Linked DNA regions of Struthio camelus. The protein of the gene in region 2 interacts with the protein of the main gene of each other region in a pairwise test. Links are inferred from orthologs where the notes say so. Each region holds a gene or a part of one and is shown on either strand. Other genes may lie near its edges.

Region 1 (8,252 bases), on a different chromosome or scaffold from region 2:
CTTTGTTAAAATTCCAAACCTGTCTTCAGTTACAGGAGTATGAAGTGGAGCCTATATAAAAAAAAGAAAATAAAGAGAGTACTGAGAGTTATTTTTTACTGCCAATCAAAAAAAAAAGAGGCAGTTAATGAAAGATCCAATAAGGCACTTCTATAGGACAGACATGCTTTACATACTTCTCACAAGAGAGAAGATAAAAGTAACCTAATGAAGTGATCAGCGTTCCCCTAGACACCACAACTCATACTCTTGCACACACGCATTATTTTGTATTACAGTCTGTTAAATTTATAGAAACCGTGCAGATACATTATACCTGCTCTGGAAAGCATTATTTTGAACTTCTTGACTAGAGAAGATTATGCAGGAAGAGTGAGTTACACAGCCACAAGCCTGAGCTTGCTTGGTCTCTGCAAAAAACCAGAAATTGTATGCAAAAACCTGGAGGTCTTTTGCTGGAGCTTGGCTATGCTGCAAATCATATCACACTTAACCATCATAACATACAGTAGCTGTCAGCACTCCCCAAGACAAAAAAAAACAGTAGTTAAATATGTAAAATACGTAAAATGTAAAATAGTATGTAAAATAACGATCAGGCAAGAATGACCACAGCTACTGAGGAAACAAAACTGTATAAAGTCCTCCAAGTTTGTACATATGCTTGTACTACACCAATATTCCAGAGATTTCTAAAGAAGGCAACTCAACTTGCAGGTCACGTTCAGCCCACTAAAACAACAGTCCATCTAGTCAACAGCCCACCTCCTGCAGCTCCTAGGTGATATTAAGAGGGCTGGCTGCAAGTCAGATGGGTTGTTCTCGCAGAGATGACAGCTTGCTGCCTGTTACCCTCTCTCCTACAAGCATGTTAGGCTTCCATCATATCACCATGTCTGCACATAAATCAGTGTATTGTACATCACTCTCTGAGCACATGCAGAACGACTGCCTAGAAGTAGCAAGTTTGACATTGCAAAGAAACCATTATCTTATGGCTTGTGCACGGGAGTTGGATTCTGCACAAATGCAGCAAATCTAGTGCATCCCAGGATGCACTAGACGTACTTTGTATGTGCACTACCCTATAAAGAAAAGCAAAGGCCACAGTGTATCTGTTTAGACATAAAAAATTAGCATTGATGCGCTAAAGGAAAACAGACTAAAAACAAGACAGAGCGTTTTTCTGGTAAGTCACCACATTTTAAATGGAACGAAGGTAGAAAAGAATGAGTTGGATACAGAGTTTATTACCTTAGAGATGAACTGCAATGTTTACAGGTTCATACATACCCCCCGCTCCTTCCAGTCCGGAAAAAGTTCTTCTAAGGACCGTGGCTCAAGACAAGCACCAGAAAGTGTATGTGCACCAATCTGAGCGGCTTTTTCCACCAGACAAACACGTACTTCTTTGCCATGCTCAGTGGCTAACTGTTTGAGTCGAATAGCTGCAGAAAGACCCGCAGGGCCTCCTCCGACTATGACAACATCAGCTTCCTCTGCAAATCTTTCCATGTTTACTCCTTCAATAGGACAACAGATGATAAAACAAATGGATCTCCAGTTTCTCCTGCCCTCTCTCTCACTAAATCTTGCTTTGCGATACTGCTACCAGGTAACGCAGTAACATCACCTTGCATAAAAGAAGGCCAAATATTCAACAGAATGCTCACTTCAGTACTTGGAAGAGGGTAGAAGGACATTAGTATTCATTTTGTCAATGTACAATCAACTCTTTGTAAGTTGTAAGAAGATATACCATAAAAACATATTCAATCTGTATACACTGTAGGTAAGTATCAGCAATGTTAAAAATAAGAGCCTGGTTGCCTAGCTGTATCAAAGATACTTGGTGAAACTCTAGGAAGAGAGAAAGAAAAGAAAAAAAATCTTTAGTCAGAACAAGTTATTTTATTTTACTCTAGTTAATCAGCTACTGTTATGGAATTGAAGACATTAAAATTGCTGAATATATAGACTGGAATGGCCAGAGATATATATTCCTCTTATTTTGTCACAAACTTTCATGGCGAGAGCAACTGAAAAATCCAAAAAATACAGACCTGACTGAATTCAATCTTGTTGTGATAGTCACCCAAGTAAAAAGAATTTATAAACTTTTTTGACGTAACTAGAATCCAGTCAAATCTGACCTGATTTTATAGTGCTCAACACAATCGTTGTGAGATAGCAACCGTAAAATTTCATTTGGGATATTAGTACTGTACTTAACAGAATATAATTTCTGTAAAAAGAAAAAATCGGCAACACACTTCAGTGTTGTTAAAATTGAGTAATAACAATAAAAAGATGCTTTTAAAACACATGTTTTCACTTACCTTCCCATCGTTTGTCTTTGTCCCGAGGATGAATAGTATAATGCGTAGTTATACGAGGCACAGAGGTAGTAGATGCACATGCTGCAATATGCAGTGATGGAAGGCAGTCTCTCTTTAACAACTTTAAAACATGAAAACACAGACGTGCTGCAAAAACAAAAAACAGATTCACCAAATCATTAGCTTTCCAAAGTTTTCTATATTTCAGAGACACAATGGCACAACAAATACGACAGCCCCTTAAAAGGCTGCCAGGTCAAATGAAGATGAGGAAGCGTATAAATAGATTTTTAGTTATTCAGCAACTAGGACTGTGCATGTGTAATTTTAAATTTAAAAAATAAATAAAAAATAGAGAGCTTTCCCTTTAAGTGAATAGCACTCAAGGAATAAGTACACCAGCCAACCAATTCTGACAGCTGGCATACCACAGCATGCACGTACAAAGGAAAAAGACATTCTAAGTTCCTACGTCATTTTGAACATCAAAAGATTTATTGAAGACATCATTAAAAAGGACTAAACAACTGTAGAGAGAGGACATACAAGTTCATCCCTTTTGCAATCTCAACACATGTTCAGACACACAGCTTGGGCTGCTGATTCTAAGCAGCTGATCTAAAATAAATGTCACCATCTACAGTAAAAGCCAAGACTTAAACAAATATACTTTAGCAAGGCTAGAAATAGATACAGGTAATAAAGACACGCAATCTTTACCTTTGCTACAGAAACATTAATAGTTGCCACAACAAATTATGCATTCTCTTAAGTCTCAAATAAGCAAAATAAGACAAAAGGGCATGTTACATGCTTGTTCTAATTTCCGTCTTTCACAAAAAAAAAATCATGTTTTGGAGCTGTATGTGATCTGTTCTCAGAGAGCTAGTAAGTGTAGCACCAAAACTAGTTATAGTTACAAGATTTGTCAAGTAACGCACACTAAGTGGTATTTTCCCTTCCATTATGGATTCCCTTAGTCTAATTTCAGGGCAGAGAGGGAGAATACTATATTTGAAACACAGTATTTCTGCAAAACCACATAAGCAAAACCACCAACATACTGATGTTCGCTGATGTGTTTCATTGCCAACGGTGATTAACAAGGCCACCACAAACATCCTCCATCATAATTACATAGTGATAGTCGGGGTACTGGTCTCCATATGCAAGGTAATAATAAACGGACATAGATAATACTTTTAGGTTAACAGCAATTTTGCACATAACAAACATAACATAAACATTATTACTATAAGTAACAAGTAATTCTTATCACGACTCACAAGTACCCTTCACCTGCACAGCTAGGTAAAGCTGTGTAAGCTGGACAGCTTCAAATAATGGATCTGAGAACAAGCAATGTGTTTTATACGTAGGATAATAACTACACCAATATACATTAAAACACAATACCATAACTTCATTTCTGAGCTATTTTATTTGAGCAAGACCGATAGCACTATGAGTTACACAGTACTGCTGCTTGGCAAAAATAAAAAGTGAAATTGACTTAGGAATATGTTTAATAAACACAAAGGCAGGTCCAAACTCTGCAACGGCACCTGAACAGACATACTCTTTTCACCCAACGACCTGGAACCTGGGCGACTGTGTTACTGCAGAGCTGAGAGCTTACGGACTTGGCAGTTCGCATACGTGCAGCAATGAACAGTGAGTACGAAGCGGTGCAAACAATCGCTAAGAAAAGAGCAAAAACTCGCTCCCACGAAGTTCTTTGACAACCGCCGCCAAGGCATTACTTCTACGATTATTACCTCGATAACGACGTACATCCAATTACCTTACCCTTTAAAACACGCTACACCTAGCAAAGATCGCTGCAAAACAGACAGCTCTTTACAGCGCCGCGTTACATTTTAACACCAGACACAGCACGTTAACAAAATACACCGGTAGCCCAACCCTTGCAGGTGCTTACTGCGTAGTTTCACCCTCGGAAGCACATTTAAACCAGCAGAGACCGCAGAGACCGCTCCGACGAGGAGGGAGCAGCTGCTGCGGGACAGCCGCCCCCCAGCGCCCCCGAAACCTCCCCACAGGCGATGCCGGTGGGGCGCCCCCCACCCCCGCGCAGGCGCCGCGGCCCGGAGCGGCCGGTGGCGCCGCGGCCGCGCCGACCTTTGCCCTAATTCCGCGCCAGCTGCCGCCCCCGCCCCAGGTCGCCGTGCCCCGCCGCGGCCCGCTGCCCCGCCGCGAGCCGGCACGTTACCTCGGCTGGAGGACGGGCAGACAGGCGGCAGCATGACGGCGGCAGCTCTCCACTCTCCCCTCAGCGCTCGCACCTCCTCTCCACCGCGCCCACCCCACCCCGGCTCCCCTCGGCCCCGCCGCGCCTGCGCACTCGGCTGCCTGCCGGGCGACACACGCCCCGTCCCGCCCCACCCGCGCTGCCAGGACTACAGCTCCCAGGGCTCCCCGCGCGAGGCGCCGGCGGGACATACCACGCATGCGCCTGGCCACCACGGCCCGCGGAGGAACGCTTGCCCTGGTCTGATATTTAAACGCAGGCACATGGAGATGGCGACGCGCTGGTTTACACATTTTTTGCGCCGTGTGCGCTACAAACAAGACCAAGCGCTAGCTAACAACCCAGGCGGGCACCACGGGAAGAAAGACTACCGTTCCCGGCGTGCAGCGCGGCGCCCATAATTCCAAGCGGCGCTGTGCAGCACCGCCCCGTTCCCCCGTCGCACGCCCTGCCTGGTCTCGCCGCAGTGCCTGCCGGGATACCCGCGAGCCTTTCCCCGGAGCCGTTGGGGCGGGGCGGGGCGGGGCGGGGCGAGCGTTGCAGCGCGCGGAGCCGTTGGGCGGGCCGGGCGGCAGCGGCGCGGAGCATGGCCGAGGCAGGACCGCTGCAGCCCACAGCGCTCCCGGAGGGCCCGCCCGCCGCCGGGCCCAGGAGGAGCCGCAGCTGGAGCAGGGGGGCGCGGCCGCCGGAGCAGCTCGCTGGCGACCCGCAGGAGCTGCTGGAGGAGGTGGAGATGCAGATCGGCGACGTGAGTGACGCCGCGGCGGGAAGCGCTGGGAAGGGGGCCCGGGCGGCGGTAACGGCGGCTCCGGTCCCTGCAGCCCGGCCTCCTCGCTCCTGCCCGGCTCCGGCCGAGGCCTCCCCGCTGCCGCGGCACTGGGAAAGCGGGGCGCCAGCGAGTTGTCAAGCCGGGAGCCCTTTCCGGGTGCGTCTCGGCGCGTATTGCTGACCCCCAACCTCTCGCTCTGTCCTCTAGGCTGCCTTCTCGCTGACAAAGATCCTGGAGGCGACGTCTGCTGTATCAGCCCAGGTGGAAGAGCTTGCGACCAAATGTTCTGAAAATGCCAGATTTCTTAAGACATGGCGGGACCTGCTGAAGGAGGGGTATGATTCCCTGAAACCCAGCGAGTAGCTGGGCCGTCATGGAAAAAGTGGGAACTTCTGCTGCCTGATGAGGGATGTTGAGAGGGGAGTCATCCCACAGTATTTACCTTTTGCTGACCGTGCCTTGTGACAGTAGAGCTTGATTGGCATCATACCACGTTGTCTGCTTATATTAGACTTGAATGTGTTACTGCACACTGTGCCTAGTTTTTTTTTTAAAACAACTTTTTTAGCGATTTCACATGGTGAGTTTATTTTTTCATCAACAACTCATTTTGAGCTAGAAGAGAGTTCTTTGGAAAATACTTGTATGTGTACCAAAACTATGTATAAGTTTCTGAGTAAAATAACTTTGTTCAGGGGAGTTATCAGTTGTAACTCTTGGACTCCTCCTTTGCAGCTCAGGTGATCTCATATGTGAAAGAACTTTCATTTTTTGCTAATATAATGGAGACAAAGTTAACTTGTAAGGTACATCTAGAACTCACCAGCTGTGGGGGGGAGTGGTAGCCCATGAAAATATAGTCAGCCATCCTTTTAAGAACTTTGACTGTGCTAGAAGAAGCCCTCTTAGCTCCAGGGAAACTTGTCAAACTAATTTTTCTTTGTGCATGCTTTTTCTTCAGGTTGAGGATGGGATAATATGGCTAGTGAAGTCTTATTTAAGAGCTATAGATAAGCCACCCTATCCCAAATCTTACTATTTTAGGCAGTATTGCAATATATTTCTATAAAGATGCATTTGTTTTACAAACAGTTTGATAATTGGAAACATGTTACGCCAGACTTTTTGTAATAAATACAAAGTGCCTTATGCATTGACCTTAGATATATGTTTGGTAGAAATTTAACTGTGTTGCTTACTGATAGGATGGATTATTTGGAATTATTAATACAAGCTTCCTTCAGTTAGAATAAGTGTTTGTAAACTGTATTCTCTCATCTCTGGGGCAGCAGCTTGTTCTGTTTTTGGCCTATTGTATGTCCTGCCTCAAGCAGTAACTAATTAATTAATCTAGTTTGTACTATAAACAGGACCTTTTGGTCTGAAAGATCACTAATCTGTAATAAATAGTTGCATTGAAACTTCTGTATCCCTTACCAGAGTAATGTGAAAAAATAATGCTGAAATGCAAGGGGAAGCTTCAGGAGAATGTGGCTGTACCGTGACTTGTAGCAAGCCTAATTGTCACTGGTAGGAGGATTTTTAAAAGACAAACCGTAGTTTTGTTATCAAAAGAATAAAGATGTTACACCAAATTAGGAACTAACTAATATTCTTAAGGTACTGGTAGGAAACAAAAAAATACTGAATACATCCATAATCAACTTCAAGTGAAAACAGAAGTAGTGGTAAGGACAGGTGTCCTTAACATTCCTTATAAAAAGCAGTTATTGTCATTGAGAATGCTGAGCTTCTATGATAATTAAAAGGGCAATCCACATTGCAGGAATTCACTGAGCTATTTTTTCCAGTACCCTAAACAACTTGGAAAAGAAGTCACTTTGATCAGCAGATCATCCTTTATTGAAATAAAATATACAGTAGTGGAAACAAGATGCTCAACAAATTTTGATTTCAAGATGATCCAAAATTCTGTAAACAGTTAAAGTGTGAGTCACACTAAGTTTTAATTCAGCTTCTTACATACTTAAGAAGTTAAGTGCAAATACTAGAAGTAACTTTTAACTTTCTTTTAAAGAACTTCAAGATCATCAATGCAGAAGAGGCATTTCTTTTTCTTGGGCTGCTAGGCCATTGGACTGAGTGTGGTATTAGAGGAGAACTAAGGAAGTCATAGTAATTGGTAGTGGAAAATGTTCTTTTCAGTAAATAAGTGAATAAATTGCCTCCGTTTGTGTCCTTATACCTTCTTCTATGTACAAAGATGATTGTTTTAGGTGAGGTAAAATGATTTTACCTTGTAACACTGGGGAGTACAGTACTACTCAAGTGCTCAATGATTGCATTCCCTAAATTATTTTAACCATAATGCATTCAATTTGATGCACAAGGTGATTAAAACTTAGATGGCATGACAACTATTAAGACTGATAGGCCTCTATTTGTCAGTCTCTCACTTGGTTTGAGAGGTGGAGGAGGAATAAAAAGAGACTTAACTTTTCATCCTGATCAAGGATGAGTTGTCAAAAGGTCAGGAACTGTTGCAAGACGAAAAAATTATTTTTGTATCAGTTCTCCCTGCAAGTAGACACATTGATCTACTTTCTTCCTGCTTTGACTGCTGGTTCTGGTGAGTCAGTGTGTCCCCTCCCTTGTTATTTTCCTCATTGCTATAAAGCAGTAAATCCACGTATGTGAAGGTTCATAATGTGTTTATGTGTATGAATTTAGTCTGGTTGACTGTGTAGTCACTGATGCCTCAGAGGAGTCTGTACAAAGAACAGGCTTCGATAGCTTTGGTGTGATTTCATGCATTGGCCACATCTCTATCCAAATGAATGATGGACCATATGTTTTTTGACTGCCTTTGCTTCTTTTGGATCTTCTTTGTCTGTAATTATACCAGACCTGA
Region 2 (7,684 bases):
GGAGGATTTAGAATTACGTTAGAGATGTAACGCATAATGGAATTACTTGCTGCCATTTCTCTCTCCAAAGTGAAAGTTTGTTTTGATGTTCAAATACATTTAGGAGAAGATTGTTTCTTTCCTAAATGCCCGCACGTCTACTAAATCAAGCTGCACATAACACACGGTCCTTTGAATACAACGTGAACAATAGAATTCATGTCATTGTACTTACACACTCATTCTGTTCATTAGAAGGGCAGAAGCACAAGTGAGTTGTTATGGGAGAAGCATGCTGTTTTGTAATTAAGGCAATTTGTTTCTGAGAGGGAGAAGACAAGCTAAAGAGCTCAGGAGCATGCAGTAAAACTCGAACTCCTGTCCTTAGAGGAAGCAAGGACTGAAACAATCTGACCTGTTCTAAAATGAAGAATTTGCTTTGTATTCATTTTTCTACATTAAGTACCTATATACCCCAGTGAAGTCAGTGCAAACTGAAAGTGTCCAGTAGTTTTTTTTTTTTTTTTAAACTCTCAGGCTATTAATGTATGAATTAGTGATTTGCTTCTTCTGATCTTAAATAAACCACAGAATTGTTGTGTGCCTACGTTTAGTCTTTGAGTTCACGTAGAGTGAAATTTGGCCATTTAAAGCATAGCACAACTAGGCATTGCCAAGGAGAGTGCACAAGATGCATTTTTTCTTTTGAAACTGCAAATTTTAAAAGTCAGGCATAGAATATATCATCTGTTCTCCAGATACAGAAGGAAAAAGTTAACTTACACCTCTCTAAGAGTTGCTGTACCATATTAGAAGCACACTGCATTTTCTGTTGCAAACTTCAGTAAACTAACAGCTATGTGTTGAAGTCGCATAACAGACACCCAGGTGCCTTTGTTCTTCACCATGAAGATACAGTTTGCATTCTTAAAAGCCTCTGTGCTGCACGTAGGTGCAAATTTTAAGAGCTTGATTTTAGTAAATCAGTCCTACTCCTCGTAGTCAACTGTTCCATCTGAAATCCCCAAATCAAAACAAGATTTGGATGATATGCCCATGGTGTTAAACAGCCATCATTCATCAACGCTCCTCCACATTCTCTACCGACAGCGTTACTATAATTGGGAAAGAAAGATTAAAACAGTACCAAGATGCTTCTCTTCCACTTTTTCATGACTCCCCTAACAAAATGATTCGGAGAACTCTCAATGCAAAGTAATCCTATTCTTTCCAATAGCAGAAGGCATTGGTAGTGTAAGATACATAAGTCAGTCTGTTGAAGTTCACTTAAGTGTAGAAGTAAGCCCTTATTTTACTGAGCTATTCCTCACTCTGTGTTCAGATAACCCACTGTTTTGTTGATATTAAAGTGAAAAACAGCAAGATGTAAACGAGCAGCCATAAGAGAATTCTTTCTCAAAGGTCAGCATACCGCAGCAAAATATGACCTTACAGGAGGAGGGATGGCTGTTCCCATCCTTAGAGAACGCCAGGAGTATTCCATTTTCAGGAACAAAATGCCAGAAAAGCCCATTGTCAAGGGAAAAGCTTCCAGCATATACAAAGACTGTCAAAAGTTCGGCCAAAACCCTCCCCGAATTTTAGATTTCAAAGACGGACAGGGACTACAGGCTTGTTTGGAGGTGGCTTTTATATGCTTAACACTGTAGATTTCCTCACAAACATACTCTTCAGTTTTTAAATGTGCACTGATTAAGTTGTGAAAAGCGTAGAGACACCTTGATAAGCATTCTTGCTACTCTGTGCAGAGACGTCAGTACTGCGTACTTTCAGCACGATGAAGAGCATCTTTCAAACTCCAGGAGCGTAGCATAAAGAACACTTCAAAGACATTCCCTTAAGTCGTCATCTTTGCGTTTTAACTTGCCCTTCAGTTCGTTTTTCTCCTTTCCCTTTTGGCAAGGCTATTAGTCACTTCCGTCTAGGCTTGTAAGGAGATAATCCTCAGAAAAAGACTGAATGTTGATAGAAAATTAATTAACTAACCCTCAAAAGGGACGAACTTCTAGAATGGAATACTGCCTCTTACAAGCGCAAATGGTGATTATTTCACTCACTTTATTATTAAAATGAATTAAAGGAGCGTAAATAAGGCAAGTAGTCACTATGCATTACACTGAAGTCTGTTCGTAGGTCTTCTTTCTACTCAATAAATAACTGACATAGTAAACATCGCTAAATCACACCTTCAGATTTTCAGCTCTTCCCTTCAGCAGCAAACTATTGTTGCAGAATCTTATTTAAATCAATTGGTGTATAAACCATAGCCAGGGAAACATCAGTTTTGAGCAAAGAGCACCTAAACAGAGCTTCCAAAGTTAGCTACGTTACAGTCAAAACATACAATTAGAGACCTATTCCCGTCTCGGGAAGTTTCCGCTGTTGTTTGATCTCAGTGTGAGAACTGCTCAACCGGAGCGAGCTTTAAAAAGTATCTTTCTTTATGGTTGAGAGTACAATAGCGCCCACCAACCCCAAGAATCAGCCTGAACTTCAGCGCAAGAGCCAAAAGCGTAGGTCTGGAGCAGGTCTGAAGGAAGCCACGCCAGGGCTCCGAGCTGGCCACTCCAACTTACCTCAGGATTTAAAAAAAATAATAATAATACAGAGGAAAAAAGAGGTAGAACTAAGTAAATACCAGTTCTAAAGAGGGCTAAGCCCAGCTGCGGGTCTGGCACCCGGCGTCCGTGGCAGACTCGCAGCCCGAGCGGACCTGCCGCCTGCCTGCGACCTTCCTCCCGCCGCGGCGGAGCGGCACGCCGCCCGGGCGCTCGGACGCGAAATGGCGCTTTTCTTAGGATTTCCCACCACCCCCCCCCCCACCCCGTCCTCAAGAGGATTTTTGGTAGGAGACGGGCAAGTAAGCGAGGGCAGCGGCGGTCAGCAGGTGCCGCGGCGCGCCCCTCGGCCCGGCCCGGTGCAGCCCCGCCGGCCGCGCCCGCCGCCGAGGGAGGACGGGCGGGCGGGAAGGGGGCGGCCGCGCTCCCGCCCCGTCGAACAAAGACGGCCGCGGGCTTCACCGCTGCCGGGGCGCCGGGGGACGCCGCGCTCCCGCCGGCCGCGAGGCGGCTCGAGCTCCGCTCCCGCCGCCGCCCCTCGCCGGCGCCTTCGGCCCCTCACGCCCTTCCCGCCGCGCCCGCCCCTCGCCGGGGTCGGCGCCCGCCGCCGCCCTGCGCCTCGCCGCCGCCCGCCTCACCTTGCTGCAGGTCCTGCTGGTCGTACCAGGGCTCATCCTCGCGGATCTCGAACTCCTCCACCAGGCTGTCGGCCAGCATCGCGCCCCTTCCCCTGCCGGCGCCGCCGGAGGACGGCGATGGGGACGAGGCGGGGCAGGGCGGGGCGGCGGCGCTGGCGCTAACGAGCCCCCTCGCGCCCAGCGACAGCGGAGCGAGGCAGAGCGAGCCGGCAGCCGCGCCGCGCCGCTCCTTAAAAGCCGCCTCCGGCCATTGCCGAGCGTTTCCGGACTTTGCCGAACCGCTCCCCCTTCTGGCCGGGCTGCGCGGAGCCGCCGGCAGCAACGTGGCAGCTACGCCCGGCCGGCCGGCCGGCCGGCCGCCCACCGCCTCCCCGCGATTCAAACGGAACGGCCTGACCTCCCCCGCGGGCAGCCAATGGGGAGCCGCTCGCCGGGCGGATCGAAAGGAGCGTGGGCCAATCATCAGGCGAATACGGATCGAACCGCCAGTGAGAATGGGGAGGAGGTGGGCCTAAGTTGATGATGCCCCGCCCCGGGAGCGGGCTACGCAGCCTCCCGTCGGAGGAGGTCGGTTAGACCCTGTGGAAGGGGCGGCGGCGGCGCCGCCGCCGCGGAGGGGGTTAACGGCGGGGGGAGCGCTCTGTGGCGTTCTCCGGGGTGGGGTCCCGGGAGGAGCGGGGCTGGCACGGCCGGGGGTGGGTCAGGCGGGGCGGGGCCGGGCGTAGGGGAGGTGCCGGTCGCCCCGCACGGGGGTCCCCGGGGCGCGCCGTGGGAAGCGCCCGCGATGCCCTTCTCCCCCCCCCCCCCAGTTGCAGCGGGTGTCCCGCCGGCAAACGGCCCTCCGCCCCGCGCCTCCTGCCCTTGCAAGGGGGAGGGAGCCGCCCAGCGGAAAGCCGCCCAGCGGAAAGTCCCGGTTTTCACAGAGAAACAGCCCCGGTTCCAGCCCGGCAGGTTTCCGAGCGCGGCGGCCAGGTGCAGCCCCGCGGCCTGTGAGGGCGGCGGCGCCCCTGCGGCTGCCGCAGCCTTCGGCTGGGGACGAGGAAAGCCCTGACTCTCCTTAGCTCTGCTTCAGCGCGGCTCGAGTCACGGAGGAGAGAGGAGGGAGGCGTTTGTGAGCAGCCCGTTGGCCGGGGCTGCGGGAGGGCGTCGCGGCGGGGCAGGGCGGCGGAGGCCCGCGGCCCTGCCCGCTCCCTCCTCCTGGCGCCGGGCGCTGGGTTTCTGTGAGAGATTCCCGAAATTGGTTCGCCCTCTCTGAGTCACAGAATGTCAGCGCTTTGCTCTTCAGCGTGTTCAACATAAAGGCTGGCTCTTGGGAAGAGGGAGGGGATGGTCGTGCGTGATCCCCCGGCTGTACAATTAAAAAGAGCACGTCTGTTGGGAGAGGAAGTGTGGCACCTCAACTTCTAATTGAGCCTGTTTCATAAACAAAGTACAGGACCAGATGTGCCAATTAGTGTAAATCGTTGTGTCAGGTCCTGTGCGTTGCAGTTAGTCATGGCACTCGAGGCCTGTTTGTCCCTTGTGAGAAGGATTTTGTGAAAGAAATACTACTTCACAATTTTCTGAAGCTGAGGAGACCTTTTTTTTATCTGTGTGTAGGAAGGAACTGAGTCAAATGTGATTGGAAGAAGGAAAAATTTGAAGTACTAGTTTGCAGGTAAAGCTAGCGCGAAGCACGTTTCTTCTTGGTGCTCGTGGAATTTGAGGGAGGCGAGGGGCCCACAATTCCTGTTGGGAAACCCGTGCTGTCTTGCACAAGGAAATACGTGCGAAATGCCTACTTTTCCAAGTGCCCTAGTATCTGCTACACCAATCTGCTACTTAAATACTACATTAAGTGTAGTTGTGAAGGCTTGAATACGCCCTTCATTTTAAAATGCGGCGCTTGTCAGTAGCACGCTTCTATAATGACGCTCACAATTTATAGTATTATACTTCTAAAATAAACATTTTAAATGGGGATCGTTTCAATAACCTTATTTTCCATTTTAGGTTTCTCGGTAATAGTTTATGAAACAGAACTTGTTACAAAAATGCAAAATTTCATCCCTTGGACATGGAAATACTGCTATAGCCATAGCTCCATGAAAAATAACTTTGAAAACATATATCACTGTCATTCTCAAGTATATACAAATTCAGTCATGTGCTTAAAAAAAAAAAAAAAGAAAAGGTTGGCCTTAGAGGGAAAAAAAAAAACTTTGATCAAGTTGTTTTTCAGCTTGATTTTTTTTCCTTACTTGTAAAGAGGAGTTATTTCCTCTTTGCTTATTGTTTCATAGTTGAGCATCTTAAATAGAGGTACAAAAATACACCCTCGTTTTACCGCTCTTAAAATACCTCACTTTCTGTGTTGGAGGGAATGGAAGAACTGCTGTTCCATATTCTGCCTTAGCCAGAATAGACAATTTTCCAGTCCCCTGCTTTGTCTGTTGCCTGGCCCTCACCTGGTGATGAAGAATTTACTGTTTTCCTCACAGCAGCCTGTCTTCAGCCACTTGGTGAACCACAGGCAGCAGGAAGGTTCGAAACAGCCGTGCTTTTCATTTCCTGTTTCTTTCATGATCATTTTATGAGGAGTTCAAGGAATTGCTAATAGATTTGTTTATCAAGCTGAACAATCAAATATTCAAACCGTGTATTTTGATGAATATTTGAAAAATAGCTTTTAGGATAAAATTGTTAGTATAGCGCACAAGAGTGAAGTGTGGACCATTGATGGGACACGGGCTGCAAAGTTCGGAGTTAGTGTCCTTAATTAAGGTTGAGATTTGAACCTGAAGTAATAGCCGAATTTATGGCAGACAGTTTCTTTTGAACAAATATACAGATGAATAAAGGCTCAGTTAAGGACAGAGTATCTAAGAGAAGTATTGGCGTGTTGGGATTAGAGAATCAAATCTGGTCAAGGACCATAAAGGTACTCATTGCTCTGCTTTAAAAGGTAGAGGTTCTCCAGAACCTCTAGCTATTTTCATTGGAGGGTTTATACTAAACATACTTCAGCTAAATGCTAGATATGTGGAAAAAGCCAACATGTTACAAAATTGTTGGCTGAAGATCTGTTTGCTATATTAAGGAACTATATATCCTTGGGCTGAATCTGTTATTTGGATATACTCCAAATCCTGTGTTACTCTATATGAGTTACTTTCTGGATTTTATTTACACAAGTTCTCTTCCAGTACGAAAATGTTTCTTAAAAGGTATTTTGATTGCTTTAAGTAAGTTTCATTAGTTTATTAGCTGAAAATATTGCTTCCATGACTTGGGCTCCTTTTTGTTAACTAGTAACATTAGAAAATAGGAAGACAAAGCTTTGAATTCATTTTAAAATAAATGTTCATCTAAGCGCATGCTGAATTTGACATTCATAACAATGGAATACACAGGAATATGAATTGAGTCACTTCATTCCTACCCAGTTCTTTGTAATTGTAGAACTACGTAGCTAGCAGGAAGGATGTAAAATGTACGCAGTTGCTTTGAACTCTACCTCAAGATTAGTGCTTGCAGTAGCAGACTTTTGTGTTGGGTCTGTGCACCAGTTGCTTTATGTGCTCTTGACATTTTGTCTACTTGTTCTTTTGTTTTTTAAGGACTGATTATATTGGGAAATGCCATGCTTAATTTTTACACCTGTTCAGTTTTGTGCTCAGTGTCTCGTACCTCAGTAAAATGTGTTGCGCGTTTAACAAAAAAGTGACTGAGGATGGGGAAATTCTCATCCAAGACACTAGTTTCGCTTCTCTGAAACAAGCAAATCTCCCATGTCTTTTTGCTTTGGAAAATGTTTCTACCAACGATTGTAATTCTTCTTTTGTAACTAGAGAAAGAAGAGACTTGCACAATTTGGAAATGAAGTTTGTTTGGGGAATTCATCCTAATGCACTGGCATATTCCATGACTACATTAGGTGCTGGAATGATGAACAGTATCTTTAATTTCTACTACGTTAAGCTTTTCCTAAACCAATACAAAATTTCAGAAGTAGCGTTTCATCAAGCACAGGTATTGTACAGCGGAATATTTTGATTTCTGTGTTGTGCTCTGTGTCTGTATTGGCATATCAAAGTTATTTTTATTAATGAATTCCTTTTGAGTTTATTGCAAATAGTTATACAAAAATTCCATGTTAAATTTAGTTAATGCATGAGCAATTGAAGGCATACTTAAAGTGCATTGTTTACAGTCTTTAAATTAAAAAATCTCTGGACTTTCATTGCTGGAAAGATTTTTACCTTTCATAACTTGAAGTAATGTTCTAAACTAATCTTGCACTTCAGCTTCATGGAGACCTTCGACTTCAGTGCTTTCCTATGGACTATTTAAGTACTTAAATACTGCCTTTTTTTCTGCAAGTTCCTACTCATGTGAGCAACTTGAGCACCTAAATGATCTCCTGAATATGATGGCCAACTCATGCTTTAAATTACTTGCTGTAAGAGCTTGTGAGATGAAAGCCCAGATACATAAGCTTTTGAGGGA
Region 3 (7,871 bases), on a different chromosome or scaffold from region 2:
GCTACATGAAGTTCTCAGAGAGACTAGGAAGTCTTCCGTTTTATTTATGAGTTCAACCCAGCCAGTCGCATTAACAAAAAACAAAAAAAAAACAAACAAACAAAAAAAACCCCCACACCCTCACACTCACAGCTTGGAACCCACCTGTAAGTTACACCCTCTACTTTCATTTGTTAGGAGTTCTCATAGACACCTCCAACCTTCATTAGCCCAAGAAAGTAATTCGCATAAAACAAAGACTGTAATTAGCAATTGTAACATAACAGATATGTAATGTTCTCTGCTATCTTCCAGCAACATATAAAAAGATTATCTACTCCTTCATCAGAAATGAGACACTTGTGATGAAAGCCGCAAGCCAAGAGAGTAACTCATTAGGTCCCAGAGAGGAGGTAGCCTAGATCACAGGCCGTTTTTGCTTAGGCCCTCCCCACTCTCTACCTTTAGCGTAGCCAGAATCATCAACACTGTCTTCATCAGATTCAACAGAGGAGGCGCCATCTTCACTTCGTAATGGAGGAATGATACCATCTCCTTCTACAACGGCTTCCTTTAGCAGCAGGGAATCAAACTTCACAGTGTAGTAGCCACTGTCGATATCTACAGAAGGAAAAGCAATGGACAGGAGTTCAAGTGTGCAATACGCAACGGGTAAGAGGGCTTTCTACAGAACAGTTACCTTCAGTGGGAGAGGAGGAAGGCCCAGGGAACATGTGTTTAAAAAAAAAAACCTCTGAATTCTTTTTTGCTTGAGATTTCGGTCTAGAAGGGAGAATTATATGCTGCAATGAAGAGCTATTTCCAGTTTCTGTGTTGATACTTAGAGGTCTATTTCTAAAAGTGATGAAAGATGGGCTGCTGAGAAATTGAATTAAAGAGAAGGCAGATTTGTTCCTTCAGACCTAGCAACAGTCAAAGAAAGCAGGAAAGCGGGAATAAACCCCTACCCTGTCCAGGACACAGAGGAGCCTGTATCAGCAACTGACAGGCAAGGCCAGCTCCCCTGGCTTTTCTTTAAACAAGAACAGATTATTGCAATTCCAGTATTCATGCAAGTTCCTGCAATACCTGTCTCTCCCCTACCAGTTCAGCTAATGACTACGAAGTTTTTTTTAACCTCACATTCCTGCTCCTGGGTTGCCTTCTTGTCTAATGTTCTCCTGTTTTCTAGCCTCTTCCCATCCCAAGCCCTACAAAACTCAGAATATTTTCCTCAGCTATTTCAAAACGTTCAGTTTAGGCATGTAAAAACCTGGTCAGCTTTTTTCTATCATCAACCAAAACAATCAACTTTTTTATTTCACTGAAGTGTCCGTGTTCATCCTCCATGCAGCAGCCTGGCAAAACACACTAAAACAAGACTCACCAGTTATTTTTGCAGTATACCATATTCCATCACTGTGTTTTGCCAGGCAGGCCGAGCCCACCTCCAGAGTGCTCAGATCGGGCTCCTGAAACGGCTGAAGCTCTTCCACAGACACCACTTGCCCGTGAGAAAACCTGCCAGGAACGGTGAAAGAAGAACTATATCCACACCACTTGAAAAGGGTTTAAATAAAAATTCCTTCCCTCACGAAAGAAAATGTGACAAGTTATCAGCACTACTGAATCTTCGCTGATAATTATCAAAGTCTTATCACACGCTATTTCGACTACACAAGACAGTCTTCAGTTTTCATCTTAAAGATATTATTTGTGCCATCTGACAACGCATTCTATCCCAGAGCATTAAGCTTTTTTTGCTAGTGATGTACCCAGTAAAAAATTTCACAGATCCTTCGATAAAGAGGATCACACAGAAACGTAGGTCTCTAGTCCACACTGGAAGTGCTTGAAGCAGGACTGGCCTCATTGACAGATCAGGTTGCTCAGGGCCTTATCTAGTTAAGTTTTGAAAATCTCCTAAGATGGAGACACCACAATTTCTCTCTGTAACCTGTATGTATGTGCTATCTACAGACTAACTTTTCTTTTTTTAACATCTTAATCAATTATTAGTTTAGCTACGCAATGGAGTAGGTAAAACATCTGCATTTTGTCATGGGAATTTCCATTTCACCTCTGCGTTACCTGAAGAAAGCAGTCAAACTGTTTGATGCCAATTTACCACGTCATATTTTAAAAACAGAAAAAATTACATATATTTGGCAAAATTCCATCTAGTACAAAAGCCAAACACAGCACTTTTAGAGCAGTCTCTTCCCTTGCATGCCAAGGCCTTTAGCAACAAGAAGGCCACAAACTCCCTCCCATCCCTTTTTTACCGACAGTTCTCTTTAAATCTGCACTTGTCATCCAAGAAGAATGGACACGGCTTCAAAGACTTGTGAGTTGGATAGAGATACAGAACTCTGACTCCTGCACTGCCATCTTCTAAGTATTCTGTGCCCACAATCATGGCATTATGGTACTCCAGGGTCCCCCAAGCACTGTAGTACGGGGCTTTAACCTTCATCCCACTCAATTCCTCCTCCTCTTCCTCTCTGTCAGACTCATCCTCCTCTTCACTGTACTTAGATTCACTTTTCTCATCAGTTTCTTCATCTCTCTTTGATGATATCTCATGATCAGCAGCTGAAGGTTTGTCCTCAGTTCCAAGCTCACCAATGGCTTCCTTAAAAGCAGCATATTCCTCATCTTGGGCAGAGCTGTCTAGGTTGGCCTCCTGCTCTAGGGGACCTGCAGGAGAGGAGGAGGATGCGTTTGTATCTAAGGTTGCAAGAAGTTTGCTTTTTTTAATAGACACCAGGCTAGATTCAGTCAGCTCTATCAGCTGCTTTAAGTCTTCCTGCAACTGAACCAAGTCCGTTTGCTGGGACGGGTCGAGGCCGGCCCCTAAGGCCAGCTCTACTTGCTGCAGCTGGGCGCTGTAGGTGTGAATGGCTGCCTCCAGACTCTCCTCGTCCATTATCAGCACAACGAAGGCGTCTCTAACCGTGTCCTTTCTGGGAACGCAGAACACATTCAAGCAGGTCACGTAAAGCGATCAGCAGGTCTTCGTCCGCAGCCGCCACCGCCTAGCCCGCCGTCCTGCTGCTTCCCCCTGAGGAGGCCCGACGAGGCGCCTGCAGCGAGGGACATTGAACGGCGCGTTACCGCCGGCCGCCGCCCTGCGGCAAGGGCGCCTGGCCCGGGTCAGCCCGGCCCGGGCGCTCAGCGCTGGCCCAGAGCCACGGCCATCAGCGCCGCCACCGCCGCCCGCCGCCCGCCGCCGGCCCCGGCCGGCCGCCCGCCCGCCCGCCTCACTCACCCCCCAGCTCTCCCCTTCCTCCCGGGGCACCGCCATGACACCCCGCCGACTTCCGGTCCTCCACGCCACCCCACTTCCGGCCCCTCTAGCCGACGCGTTACGCCGTTTCGGCTAGGAGACTTCCCCTACCGCGCCGGCGCAGGCTGTGGCCGTGAGGGCGCTAGGCATTCTGGGAGTCGCAGTCCTCCTGAGGGGTGTCGCGCCGCTCTGACCGCGGGGCGAGAACTACATTTCCCAGGGTGCCGCGCGGAAGGGGGGGGGGGGGGAAGCCGGCGGCCGGTGCCGAAGGGGAGCGCTGAGGCGCGGGGGGCCGGGAGGTGTCTCCGGTGTCCGGTGAGGGGCCGCGGGTCTCGGGCTCCGTGCTCAGCGCTCGGGGTGGGGGGGAGGAGCGGGGACCCTGCCGTGTCTGATGGCAGCTCTGCGAGGCGCTGCTAGGCCCGGCTGCGACGGGGCTCGGGCCGGGCCCCGGTGGAGGGAGGCCTGTCCTGGCCCGAGGCCGCGCCGGGCCCGTGGCGGCCGTAAGGGCCGCGGGGGCCGAGGCCGGGGCCGGTTCCGGCTCCTCTTGCGCAGCCGGAGGGGAAGGGTCCGTGCTCGCCGGCCGCGTCGGGCCTCCCGGCCTGGCCCTGGCTGCGGTCCAGCCTGGGAAACCTGCCGTGCTGAGGCTGGAAGTCTTTTTTTTTTTTTTTCTTTTTTTCTACCCCTCAGGCAACGTTATTGCATTTCAAAACGATTATTTATCTGCACGCTCGCTGCACGGCAGCGGCTTCTCAGAGTTGTTGCCTTGAGGTTCCCCCGGTCTGTTTAAACTGAAGGGTGGTTGTAATGCTAAGGGAGCCGGCTGTGGTGCTTGGTACCGAGACTTCCTGCATCTTAGCAAATCTTCTCTGCCTTGTTTGTGCAAATCCAACAAAAGAGTACGTGCATGGCCAGGGGCTGTCACTTAGTCTTATTTTCGGTCTTGTGCTTTTGGCTAGTCACCGGTCTTCTCTTCATGGTATTGCAAGATGATAAAATACTTGAATTGTGAATCGTGGAACAGAAGGCTGTTGCTGGAGAAGGCATACGTTAATATAGCTAGTCTTTTTTACAAGCCTTTAAAAGTAAGATACTCTGTCAGTTTGACCATTAAAGAGCCAATGATACAGTCGTATAGAGCGTGTTCTTGCTCCAAATACCCATTCTGTGTATTTGTATGCAATTGATTTCATTCTGTGGACCATGTATGTACTCTGAAAGACTTTCAAGAACATTCAGATCCCCTTTAAGCCTTGGAACAGACAGGAGCATTTTCAAATGAGTAGTGGGTTTGCACTGGATGATATGCACTATCAAAATTTGGCCATGTGCATAAACAGGGATAAGCTCTACATAAGATGACCCCCTACTTATATGCATTTGAAAACTTGATTTTTTTTTTTTTTCTCCCGTGGACTTGGATCTATGATTTGTCCTGGAGTTATCTAAATATGAGAGTTACTGATAAAAGAATAATGCCACTTACTTCTCTGATGTTGGAAAAACTTGCATTGTGGAATGAAAGACTTCTGGGAGTGACCCATTTATTAATAATTTCTTGGCATTTGTTGCAGGAGCAGGATGTATACTCTGTTATCTGGACTCTATAAATACATGTTCCAGAGGGATGAGTACTGCGTCTTGATCCTTGGTTTGGACAATGCTGGTAAAACAGTAAGTGCTGTTAATTACCAATTACGTGGAGGGCACGTGCAATTGTAAACATTCCTATTCTCCAAAGGCAAAACTTCCAAGAGGCAGGTCAGTCTAACTCGTGACAGGATATTTTAGGGATATTGCCCCCAAGAGTCAACTCCTCTCCCTGTATTTAAACTTAGCTATATCCCTGAAAGCTTACGCTGAGACTTTGATAATCCCGTAATCACCTGGGATCTCTTCTTTCTTTGCTGAAATAGGGAACAAGAGGAGTGGTTTGTTCCAAGGTTAGAGAGGGCAGTAGCTACTGGGACAAGATTCTGCCGTAAGGAAAAGGCAGGTTTTTGTTAAGATTACTGGATACATGCCAGTACAATGTTTGAGAGTAGTTACTCTTTCTTATTCCTTTTCAGACCTTCCTTGAACAAACTAAAACTCGATTTAACAAAAACTACAAAGGGATGAGTTTGTCCAAAATCACAACCACTGTAGGCTTAAACAGTAAGTAAATCCACCTGGAAAATTTTCCACCTTTCCTGTAAAGTTAGAGAACAGTTATTTCTTCCTTGAAATGTTTAAGAAGAATTGACAAGGGCAAAGTGGTTCCTGGAAATAGGGATCTTATCTCCTCGCTCCCTATATACTTCTTCTGAGAGAATAAATTGGCTTGCTTAGCTGTTGAAGAAAAAACCCTGAAGTTTTAAGAGTTGTGTGTCACCTTTCAGTGCTGTGCTTAGAAGTTAAACTAAGTTTCTTTGGAGTTCACGGGCTGATTCTCATCCTGTTTATGCTGATGTGACTCTTCCCAATCTTATGGCCACTATTTTCTAAGGTATTGTTCTCTTGTTATAAGTAGTACTATATGTGATTTGCTCCTGTAGAAGACTGTTCCATCCCTACTTAGGGGCATTGTGTAGGCGTGATCCTTTAGAGCACGCAGTCAGTTTTCATTGGATTGAATTTTTCTTTCCCTCTAGTTGGTACTATTGATGTTGGCAAAACTCGACTGATGTTCTGGGATCTTGGAGGGCAGGAGGAGCTACAGTCTCTTTGGGACAAGGTTGGGGAAGTAATTTTTCTTTTATAAATGTTCTGATACCTCTTTCACAATTGGAGAAATATGATCATTTAGTACTCATACAGGCTTACTGGTAACCCAGGTATTTAGCATTAATACTTTTCCAGAGATTCAATTTTATCCGTGCAAGATTTGCAAAGATGATGCTTAACATCTGCATTATTGTTTACAGAAACTAATTGTCAGCCTCTGTGGGAGGACTGTGCCAGTTTTATCGTTTGTATGTAATAAGGTCATATCAGTGGTAACTTCCTTACCCAAAGTTACAGAGGGACTTTAAAAGAGATCTTGGCTAGCTCAAATAAAAGCTACAGTCTAGTTCTAACTAAAATGAAATATGATTTCAAGTTCTCTGGGCTGTTTTGTACAGCAAATCAGGGCAAGGGAAGGAGAACATTGATGAAAGCAGGAAGGTAAGAGCTGAGATGTGTTTCTGGGCTCAGCACTTCCAAGGCTTTTACAGTACCGCACAGAAGCAAAGTATATACCAATATCAACACTTGTCTCCCTCTGTATTATCTGTTCTTGTCGAGCAGAGGGTACAGTCTGCCCAGCTGCATGGTGTTTTGTAGGTACGTTAACTGCAGCGTTATTAGAAACCCTGAGCACAGTATGCAGCATCCAGATGTCCGGCAAAGAATATTAAAGCAATATGCTCGCAGGCCAACCAAGCATGCTACCTGTGCCCTTGACTTCATTGTTTGATCAAGACATGCATTCCTGCTATCCTGTTATCAATCACTTCAACTGCACAGTTGAGTAGTATGTCTTATCAGGCTTAAAAAACATCAAATTCTGCCTGCAATCACTTGGGTTAGAAAAGGAGTACGCAGATAAACTTCTTCACCTATTTTATTCAACAGACCTGCAAATAGGACAGGCAATGCATTTTGCATGCCACCATTCTTCTCTCCAGACAAATATTATGGAAACAGCTAGCTCCAACTGGTTCTCTCTTCCATACGGATAAAAAAAAGGGTATGAGGAGGAGATAGTCTTAGCCGTTAAGTACACTAATATCTGTTACCATTCCAGTATTATGCCGAGTCTCATGGAGTGATCTATGTTATTGACTCCACTGATGAGGAGAGGCTCTCGGAATCTAAAAGAGCGTTTGGTGAGTATGCTGTGTTATCAGTACTGTGGTTTCCTGATGTATTGTGTCACAGTTCTTTCATTACAATCGTGTCTCTTCCTGTGTACTTGAAGTATAAGCTGTGTTCTGTTGATGGCATGTCTGTAGCGCTTTTGAACCTTTGCATGATACGTGGCTGCGTTTCTGAGGTGAAAGCAGTGAAATCAGTGAGCTATTTAAGAGTATGGTCTGTCTTGTCCGTAAGATAATCGTCAGTTTCATTGCCTATAAAGACCTTGAGGCTCTTTTTCTGCTTATGTTAATTCTTTCAGAACTTTCATTTCTTATTCTGTATTTAGTTAATTCTTAGTAAAGTGCTTGTTGATCAAAATAAAAGTTTGAACTTGATCTGAAAAAAGATACTGTGATGAATGCAGTCCTGAAAGTTTGGATCAAATCAAACTAGCACAAGGAAGTGCCTCTTGCTTCCTCCCTATGTTCAGATAATTTGTGTCAAGCATTTGCACAACTTGGTCTTCTAGAATTAGCTAAACCTCTCTCGTTTTTTATTTTTGTGCTTTATAGAGAAGATGGTCACTAGCGAAGCTCTGGAAGGGGTTCCTATTCTGGTGTTAGCTAACAAGCAGGATGTAGAGGTAAGATAATTGCAGAAGATGTAGTTATTCAACGAGCAAATACGCCTTTGAAAGGTGGGCTGTGTCTATTCATGTCAAATTTATTTCCAGTCCCTGGACTGGTGCCTAACAAAGTTTTTCTTCTCCTAGAAATAATTGCTG
Region 4 (8,541 bases), on a different chromosome or scaffold from region 2:
TACTTTCTTTAACCTTCCTGGAACCTGAAAAAGTGTTTCTTGAACATGTCTCTGCTTGAAAGGTTCATCTGAGTTCCTGCCCTTGTATACAGTGGAGAGAGAGAAATGATGAGAAGTGGAATCTTTGAAGTATAGAAGATTACAGTATAGAATCAGTCAACCTGCAACCTCTTCTCAGCCTGCAGCTTTGATCTTCCTAACTCATAAAACCGACACACAAACAATCCTCTTCCCCTTCGTCCTATCTAATGGGGACTAAACCATTTTCCCATTGCTCTCAACTTGGCCCTTTAGTTCTGCATGTTCACAGCCCTTAGAAAAGATATATATTCCATCAATCCTTAACACTGTCCATCCATAACTCTTCCACAGTCCTGTTTTCACTCATATGTCCTCGATTCAACATAAGCTGCAAAAATACATAAGCAGACTTAAGTTAATAATAAAGGAACTGTCTTGGGTGAACATGTATTTTGTGATTTTTTTTCCCTCCAAACAGTTACTTTACATTGCACGTAATGCACTAAGCTGATAACTGCACAGAAGGGTGTTTACTAGTACATCATGACTGCTCTGCATCACGCTGGTACCGCAAAACACTCATAAACCCAACTTTAGTACCTAACAGTCTGGTATATACAAGACACACCTCAACTGGTCAAAACCAGAAAAGCCCAGGAAAACAGCCTCTGAAAATACAACCACACAGCCTACCATAATATCCTATTAGCAATTTCAAACCCAGCACATATGTCTCTTTCCGCACAAACATGTTTTTACAAATAAGTCCAAAATACCTTGGATTTTCAATTAAGGAACGTAAATAATGTTTTACAGTTTCTCAAGTTTTAAGGTTCTTGCCATTAAAAGAGATAACCTCAAGTAACCAGCGACCACTTCAAATATTATTCCTGTGTACCAAGCTATCTAAAGTCTGCTGGTGTGAAAACTGTTTACCTGAATATTTGAAAAACTGTGTTTAAAAAAAAAAAAGAAGTTTGAACATGCCAAACAATTCTAAAACAGTGACTTTAAGAATCTAGCTCTCAGCGCAAAAAATAGCCCCACATCCTGGAAAGAGGTCTTCACATATTCTATTTGGATAGTATTTACCTGCATTCCCTTGACTGCTTTTAACTACTAGGCTTAGAAAGGACTCTCACACACTTCCACTGTCTGTTGGATGCAATCAAGTAACAGTAAACGCTTTTTCTGCAGTTGAGGAAATGACACATTTCAAACTCAACATTATGACTTCTGTGCAAGATCAGAGAGGATATGACAATAGATTATGAAGAAGCAGCTTATGTTTAAATATATATGCAGCAGAGGCAGTCAGCAGCTCTTTAAACCGCAGAGTCAGGGAGAGATCTGGTATTGTTACTGGATTTGATATTTGCTTTACTTTACCACTGATAATTTTTTAAGACCTTAAAAAATGCATACATGTTTTTACACCAAGCAAGACAAATTAATTCTATATATAGGATTTGACCTATTCCTTAAATTCATCTAGTGAGTGTTCTGAAAGTGATCTAAATTTAATAAGCCACTTAACCAATGACGAAAAAATCAGAAGCTTCGCAAAGGTAAAAGTGGCTGGCACAATAGAGTAGATGAAGATCAAATACACAATCTTGGAAGCACATGTTCATATTTCATTGCTTGTCCAAAAGCTAAAGAACTAATATTTTGAGGAAGATCTTAAAAGTAACAACCAAATGAACATTACTGAATAATTAATGAAGCAACTACAAGCTCCTTACTAGGCATGGATAGGCTACGCAAGCTTCCTTGTGCTTCCACTAATGGGCCTTGATCTTGCCTCGCATGGGTTACCTCTAAGGACTGGAGAAGAAATTAGTGTTTGCCTCCATTTCAGTTCTTTACACTTATTTGATTGCCAACAAGACAACTATCTAACTACGTTTTTGATCCGCTCAGCAGAAACTGAGTAAGGCTACAGGTTTACTTTCAAAGAAGTCAAACAGCTACTGGATGGTAGCAACGTCTGATCTCCATAAACTACAGTACAAAATCATTATGTTTGACAGTTCAGCTACCTGCTTCTGTTACTTTATGCAGGTTCCTCTCCATTCAACATCCTTCCAACCCTCCAAACCTCTCTCAGCATCATACCATGTCTTATTCCCTATTCTTAACCAGATAAACTGTACTGCCTGGTAGCTGGTATTTCATAATGCCAACCAAATATTAAATTAGCAAGGTTAGAAAGTTCCTAGTCTAAATTTAACTTCAGATTTCTGAACAGATCTGTATCCCACAACCAGTATAGTTCATGTGAATCCGGAGGACAGAATAGGATACCTTCAACTTCTATGTGTTTGTCTGTTTGTCACAAGTTGAATCCTGCTCTACAGTGAATATAAAAAAGGAAGCTTGCATGAGTGCTTTGTGTCACCAGGCTGATATTCTAGCCTCTGAAACTGTTCATCATAACTGACAACTGCTACACTTAAGTACAGAGATCCCAACAGAACTGACTGCAGGAAAAATACCCTGACTTATTAAGTTCTCAAGAAAGACTACATTAACTCACTTGTCCCTTGCTGCTACCTCCTTGGAAACACCAAATGTTCACTAACCAAAACTCAAGGCAACTCCCATGTTAAACTTACTGACACAACGTTTATCTTAACATCGTTTTAGATGTACCTATTCAACTCGCACACTCCTTTTTATTGTAAAAAGTCTTCAGAGTTGTATTAGTTGCCACATGTTAAATGGGCCTGAGTAACTGAGATATAAACAACCCTAAGCGACAGCACAGGCCGGTCATGTACAGACACATACCATTTATATATATTATATATATATATTCACATGTATAAACACACACACACGATGTACTCTACTTCCTGACAGCTCATCATTTCGAGCAAATACTTTACATTCCTCTGTTAGTCACAGCCCAAGCCAGCGTTGTTTCCTCATCACCTCGCTGGAGGTTTGCGCTCCAGAGCGAGCCCCGGGCGGCACCGAGGAGAGCCCGCCCGCAGCCCCACGGCGCGGGGCAACGCGGGCACCGGGGCAGAAGGGCCGAGGGGGGCGCAGGGCCGGCCCGACCCCCAACACCCCTCCCCGACTTGCCCCAACTTTTCGGCGTCAGCTCGGCGCTCCGGCTGCCCCGGTCGCCGCCCGCGGCCCAGCTCGCCACCCGCCCCCGCTCCTTCCCCGGCCTCCTCCGCCGCCCGGCCCCGGCCGCGCAGGCCCCGGCGCGGCCCTTACACGGTGACATGGCCGGAGCCGCGCACCACCACCGGGTCGGGCGAGTACTTCAGGAGTTGCTCCTCCAGCGCCCGCTCCTCGTCCTCCTCCTCCTCGTAGATCTCGTCGAAGTCCGCCATGGCCGGGCCCGGGCGCCCGCGGAGAGGCAGAGGGGCCGGGGCAGCGCGGCGCGGCGTGACGGAGCCGGCCGCCGAGGCCGGAAGGAGGGGGCCGGCGGGGACGCGCCGGGGCCGGGGGCGAGCGGCGGAGCGGGAGCCGCGGCAGGGCGAGCGGCGGCGGCGGGCGAGGAAGCGCCCGTCACCCTCCGCGGGGGGAGGGGAGGGGAGGGCAGGGGAGGGCGGGGCAGGAACAACAACAACAACATCCGGCCGCCGCCGCCGCCCGCCCCCGCCACGCCCCCCGGCCGCGCGGGGCAGCGCGCGGGCAGCGCGCCTGCGCGGCGCGGGCGCTTGAGCGGACCGTTGGCGCTTGGGGGACCGTTGGCGGTTGGGCTGTGGGGTGGGCGCTGTCCTCGCTGTCTCCGGCTCTGGTGGCCGCGTAGACATGCCTCTTGGGCGAGGGGGGATTGTTTTCGCCGGGTATATTCTTTCCCCTCCTTTGTAGCTCTTCTGGGGCGTCCGTGAAAAGAAATTGGAGGGAGTTGGGCCTGCTTTTAACTGAGGGGGTTGCACAGTGGCGCTGAGAGGCCTCTGTGGTGTCCTGCTAAGCTTGCAGGGATGTGAGGGAAGTGGTCCTCAAAGGCTGGTTGAGCTGAGTGAGGGCTGGTGCCAAACGTTTGTGTGTTCCTGGGTGCTGTCAGTGTCCGGCTCGGCCAGCCCACCTGCAGCCTCTCCTGATTTCCAGGGAAAACGCCCCACTGAGACCTTTATTTGCACAGGGAGCAAAACAGACAAACAGTGTAATTCCAAAGGAACAGTCATTCCCCTTTTAGGGCTATAAATGTAAAAGCAAATCAAAAAACCCTAAAAAAGAACCAGACTCTTGTTTTCTCTCTGTAGTTCCGGTATTTGTCATAACTGAAAGCTAACGCAAAGGCTGGAAAACAGGAGTGAGAGCTTAACCACCTTAGCAACAGGCGGTTGGCTGTTGTGACAACCGAGGAAGGCAGTGCTGATGTGGGATTTAGCAGCAGCAGGACACCATTTAAAAAAGGGAGAATAGTCTTTTTATTTGAGTGAACCGGTGGATCATGTAATTGCCGAAGTATTTAGATGTTTTGTATTGATATTGCAATTATGGGGGTATGGAAAACTTTCCAGGAATCTGTTTGGAGCTGGACCTGCTTTGCATGAGTGTTTAGTTGCTTGCATGAATAAACTTTTTCAGGTCTGCCTGATGGCACTCTGAAGAGAATTCTACTTCCCTTTTCTTAGTATTTTACTGTGTATGTCTTTATTCTAATAGCTTCTTTCTCGTATTATTCACTACTAGATCTTTTTTTTCCTCTGTAACCTTTAGTTCTTTTTTCATATATTGTTAGAGTATATACACTCGTCAGCTTAATCTCTGAAAGGCTATGTTGCCTTTTAATCTCTATCACTCATACAGAAGTTAGTTGTGTATTTCTCAGGAATAAAGTCTATACAAATATGTAATGGAGTCAAGGCCCGGTTCTTACTGCTTTATGTAAAACCAGGGTAGAAACAGTATTGTTGTGAGATAGTCTACTATCTTTGTATACTATCTATTCTACAATCTTCTATCTTTGCCGTAAAGGAAAAAAAAGCAGCATCTTTTACTGTCACTCTGGAAAACTAAGTATTTCTGTGTCATGACCTACTTCTAACAGCCTTCATCTCCTAAATAATGAAATTCTACAGAATAACCCTGAATTCCCCTGAGTAATAGTTTGCTTTCATAATAGTATGCTTACATATTTTTTGCCTAATTACTGTTCTCGCATGTGTGTCTCACATAGAAATTTGAGTTTGTGGGACTGATGACTCATTGCTTCTGCCTAACCATCCTGAAATTGAGAAAATGGACCAAATTTAATACTGACAAACCCACTGATTTCAGTGAAGCTTTGCCTCCTTGTGCTAACTTGCTCTACATACAAATTTGGTAACTTGTTTAATTTAAAATGACAGATTCACATTAGCAGCAAGATAATCAGAGCTATTGGACCAGCACTTGCTTTGGTTGGTTTGAGTCCTGCCTAAGGCTGCTCTTTGGGAATGGTTTATGTTTTCTGTTTTCCATTTGTGTGTACAAACTCGAGAGAAGTATAATTGCTAAAGGATGGCCAAAGAAGAAATAGCAAAATTTTGACTGAAGCTGTGAACTATGGCATGATATTTAAACTCTGTGATATCCAGGACGGTCCCTGTAATTACTTGATGACTAGACAATTAGGACTTCTGTCTTGACTAGGTGCTGCTGTAACACATACCGTAGTGAAAATGAACTTGGTATAATTCAAGTAAACTATATCTGAGTCCTCTGTTGCTGTTCCTCTGGGATAGTTTTGCTCAGAGGTCGTTGATACCAGTTTCTCTTAATGTTGGCCTATACAGAAAGAAACATGAGGTGAAACCACTGTTACTTCATAAAGTATAAACAAAGGTTGTGATACATCCCTGTGTTTTTTATATTACAAAATAGAGACATCTTGTCTACCCAAAAAGACGGAATTGTAGAAAGTGAGTGGCGTCATGATGGTAGGGACAGAAAAAGATTGCAGCAAAGGATCCCTGTAGATGAATATAATATCTTTTGAGCAAAAAGTTGCCATTAAAGCTAGTCTTACGGAGAAAAGCTAATTGCTACTTGTCTTTCATTAAAATGGATTACATCTGGTATACTTCATGCATTTCTGCTTATCCCTGGGAAGTATTTTCTTTTCTTGAGGCCTACTATCCAAAAGATAAGTACAGCCATGACACAAGTTCCACTGTCATTCTTGATTATTTTATTACATGATGGTGGGGCTGGTTGCTGAAGCCTCTTGAAACTTTTGGATATACAACTGTGCTTCATTCAGGATAACTGTAAAAACAATCAAGTTCGTTTAGTAGCTTGATAAATGTGAGCAGTGTGGATGAAGGTGCTTACGTGGGAAAAGTTGTCAGCACATTTTTTGAGCATATGTGATAGACAAGAAGCAGCAGCACTGCAGAAGCATACTGAGAAGTGTGTGAGACACTTCCACTTCCCACAGAAGCACTTTTGGGACCCCTAGGAAAAAAGTGAGAGATGGTTTTGGGTAGAAACCTAGCTAGAAAAGGGCTTGTGATTATGAGCAAAGAAACTACCTCCTGCTACTTAATTTCTTCTGTGTTCACCAAGACAGATTTTTATGTGCATTCTGTATAAATAAATAGTCATGCATCAAAGAAGTACGTGGTTCAAATTTCAGTTTTTCTTCCAAGAAAAATGGCAATTTTCAAGACTCCATAGACTGGTTACTTGTTCTTAGACAAAAGGGCAACTTTTCTTATAAACACACTGCAACCTAATCTTGTCATGTGCAATGGTCCTTATAGCCTTGTGTTTTTTAAACCAAAGGATTAAAAAACCTGCTCTTTCTGGATCCCCTTGCAGTAAAAGCAGTTTCAGATATATGCTATTACTCTTGCTGTGCTTGGTTATTTCAGGAAATAAAAAAAATATGTGGTAAGAAATATTAGAAGCAAATCTATACACGGAAATTGCTTTCCCAGCTACACTTCCCTAAGATCTGTATATTTTACTTCCTCACTTTTTCTCATTGTCTCACCCGTCTTTCTTTAAACAATGGCCTAGCATTATTTATTTACTAATTTAGATTGTAAGTACATCAAGGTAGGGTCTCTGCCCTTCCTTATATATGCCTTAGCAGTGGTCTGTATTCCAGAGAACAGCCACTGAGGAAGGGTCAAAGATTTCTTCTGCATACTTTGGAAGATGCAGAGAGGCAAGTGGACTGTAAATGCACATGCAGGTAAATTAGGTGCATACTAAATTATTCCAAGGCCTGTTATGTAAAATGAATACTTCAGATTTTCAGAACAATTCAGCTTCATTAGTAGCCGCCAAAGTTTTATTACTATTCTTGTAATAAATGTTTCCTGTCTTTCTCTTTCCACTCCTATCTCATACATTAGTGAAAGGAAGTTGTTGGGAGAGCAAGATGTCAGTCTTTCTTTCTTGACATTGTCATGTGATTTCTCAGGCTAGAACTACATAGTGCTGTGCAGCACTGTGTTGACCTTGGCAATAACTCTGAAGGGGTGGGTTTATCTGGAGAGCATAATCTGAGTCCTTGAAGTGATGCACAGGCTCAGCTATCTTGTTTGAGGTCTGAGATACCAGCGTTGCACAGCATAACAAGCTTGGTTAAGATGCGTTTGAGCTAAGACGAGGTAAAAGACAGTCCCAGGACCCTTGGTTAATTCATTGCCTAAGGCGTACATTACTTGCCTAACAAATAGCTGTTCAATAGTTTGCTATTTCCAGCTGTTGTGTATTTGATAAATTTTGACAGATGAAGAGCTAAGACATTGAAGTGCTAAGTTTGAGATGCCCAGGATGTTTCAACATACTTTGTGTTCTGTAGCACTCAATATGCTCAAAGCACTGTGACTGACTTTGATTGCAGTTGCGAGTGCGTGGTACTTTTTCGTGTCAGACCTCTGGGACAACCACTAAAAGGTAGCAACCACCTATGAAAAATTCAGTTTGAGCAACGTTTTCATCATCTCACATGGGCACACTTAGCAGCCCGTTATTCTGGCAGAAATTAACTGCTTTGACCATGAGATCCCTCTTTCTTTTCCCAAAATCTGTGTCTCATTTGCCAAACACCTTCAATACTGGTCTTACCAGTATTGGATCACCCTTAGCAGTACAAAATAAACTACCAATTTTGTACAGCTGGTATCCCACCTCACACTGCAGAAGATGAGGATAATCTTACCATTGGTGTCTCTCATCTGTCTCTTGAGTGTCATGCAAGTAGTCACTTGCCTCCACTGCTGACATCTCATTGGCATGCAGTGTACTCCCCACCAGCCACTCACTCCTGAGTGACATTTGCCTTGAGCCACCCCAAAAACAAATTGTATGTGGCTTTCACATCACAGCATTCACTTGTGACTTTTTGATATATACCCCAAATGCTGAGACCCCTCTCCTATTTACAATGCATTGTCCTTTTCTCTGGGAATAACATAAGCAACGCCAGTCTTGTCGTGACTGTATACTCTGTTGACAGCTAAATAAGAGTCCAGCTTGAAGGGTGCTTTGCTGTTGTTGCAGATAGGAACCTCCTTCCCAAACCATTTGTCTTCTGTGCCTAGCTGTTCACTAGGA

Evidence for each region.
Region 1: the proteins of CDR2 (region 2) and C4H4orf46 interact in binary tests that used the Homo sapiens proteins (3 or more experiments, as listed by UniProt). The two-hybrid records come from large-scale screens. The link is inferred for Struthio camelus from reciprocal best matches to the Homo sapiens genes CDR2 and C4orf46.
Region 3: the proteins of CDR2 (region 2) and ZGPAT interact in binary tests that used the Homo sapiens proteins (3 or more experiments, as listed by UniProt). The two-hybrid records come from large-scale screens. The link is inferred for Struthio camelus from reciprocal best matches to the Homo sapiens genes CDR2 and ZGPAT.
Region 4: the proteins of CDR2 (region 2) and CHIC2 interact in binary tests that used the Homo sapiens proteins (3 or more experiments, as listed by UniProt). The link is inferred for Struthio camelus from reciprocal best matches to the Homo sapiens genes CDR2 and CHIC2.

What each region holds. Positions count from the first base shown.
Region 1 is NC_090945.1:41,088,320-41,096,571, reverse strand, and holds C4H4orf46 (renal cancer differentiation gene 1 protein), read left to right. Parts: upstream 1-5,134; 5' UTR 5,135-5,197; coding exon 5,198-5,359; intron 5,360-5,587; coding exon 5,588-5,743; 3' UTR 5,744-8,053; downstream 8,054-8,252. Other genes in the region: ETFDH (electron transfer flavoprotein-ubiquinone oxidoreductase, mitochondrial), read right to left, coding at 1-51, 1,294-1,523, 2,340-2,486, 4,573-4,606; RXFP1 (relaxin receptor 1), read right to left, coding at 8,054-8,252.
Region 2 is NC_090956.1:9,339,846-9,347,529, reverse strand, and holds the start of CDR2 (cerebellar degeneration-related protein 2), read right to left. Parts: upstream 3,660-7,684; coding exon 3,197-3,659; intron 1-3,196. Other genes in the region: transmembrane protein 180-like, read left to right, coding at 7,055-7,207.
Region 3 is NC_090959.1:17,914,405-17,922,275, forward strand, and holds the start of ZGPAT (zinc finger CCCH-type with G patch domain-containing protein), read right to left. Parts: upstream 3,386-7,871; 5' UTR 3,251-3,385; intron 3,066-3,250; 5' UTR 2,909-3,065; coding exon 2,265-2,908; intron 1,501-2,264; coding exon 1,367-1,500; intron 601-1,366; coding exon 442-600; intron 1-441. Other genes in the region: ARFRP1 (ADP-ribosylation factor-related protein 1), read left to right, coding at 4,847-4,939, 5,335-5,422, 5,899-5,981, 7,035-7,116, 7,660-7,730. UniProt on the Homo sapiens protein: Transcription repressor that specifically binds the 5'-GGAG[GA]A[GA]A-3' consensus sequence. Represses transcription by recruiting the chromatin multiprotein complex NuRD to target promoters.
Region 4 is NC_090945.1:57,012,096-57,020,636, reverse strand, and holds the start of CHIC2 (cysteine-rich hydrophobic domain-containing protein 2), read right to left. Parts: upstream 3,481-8,541; 5' UTR 3,369-3,480; coding exon 3,250-3,368; intron 1-3,249.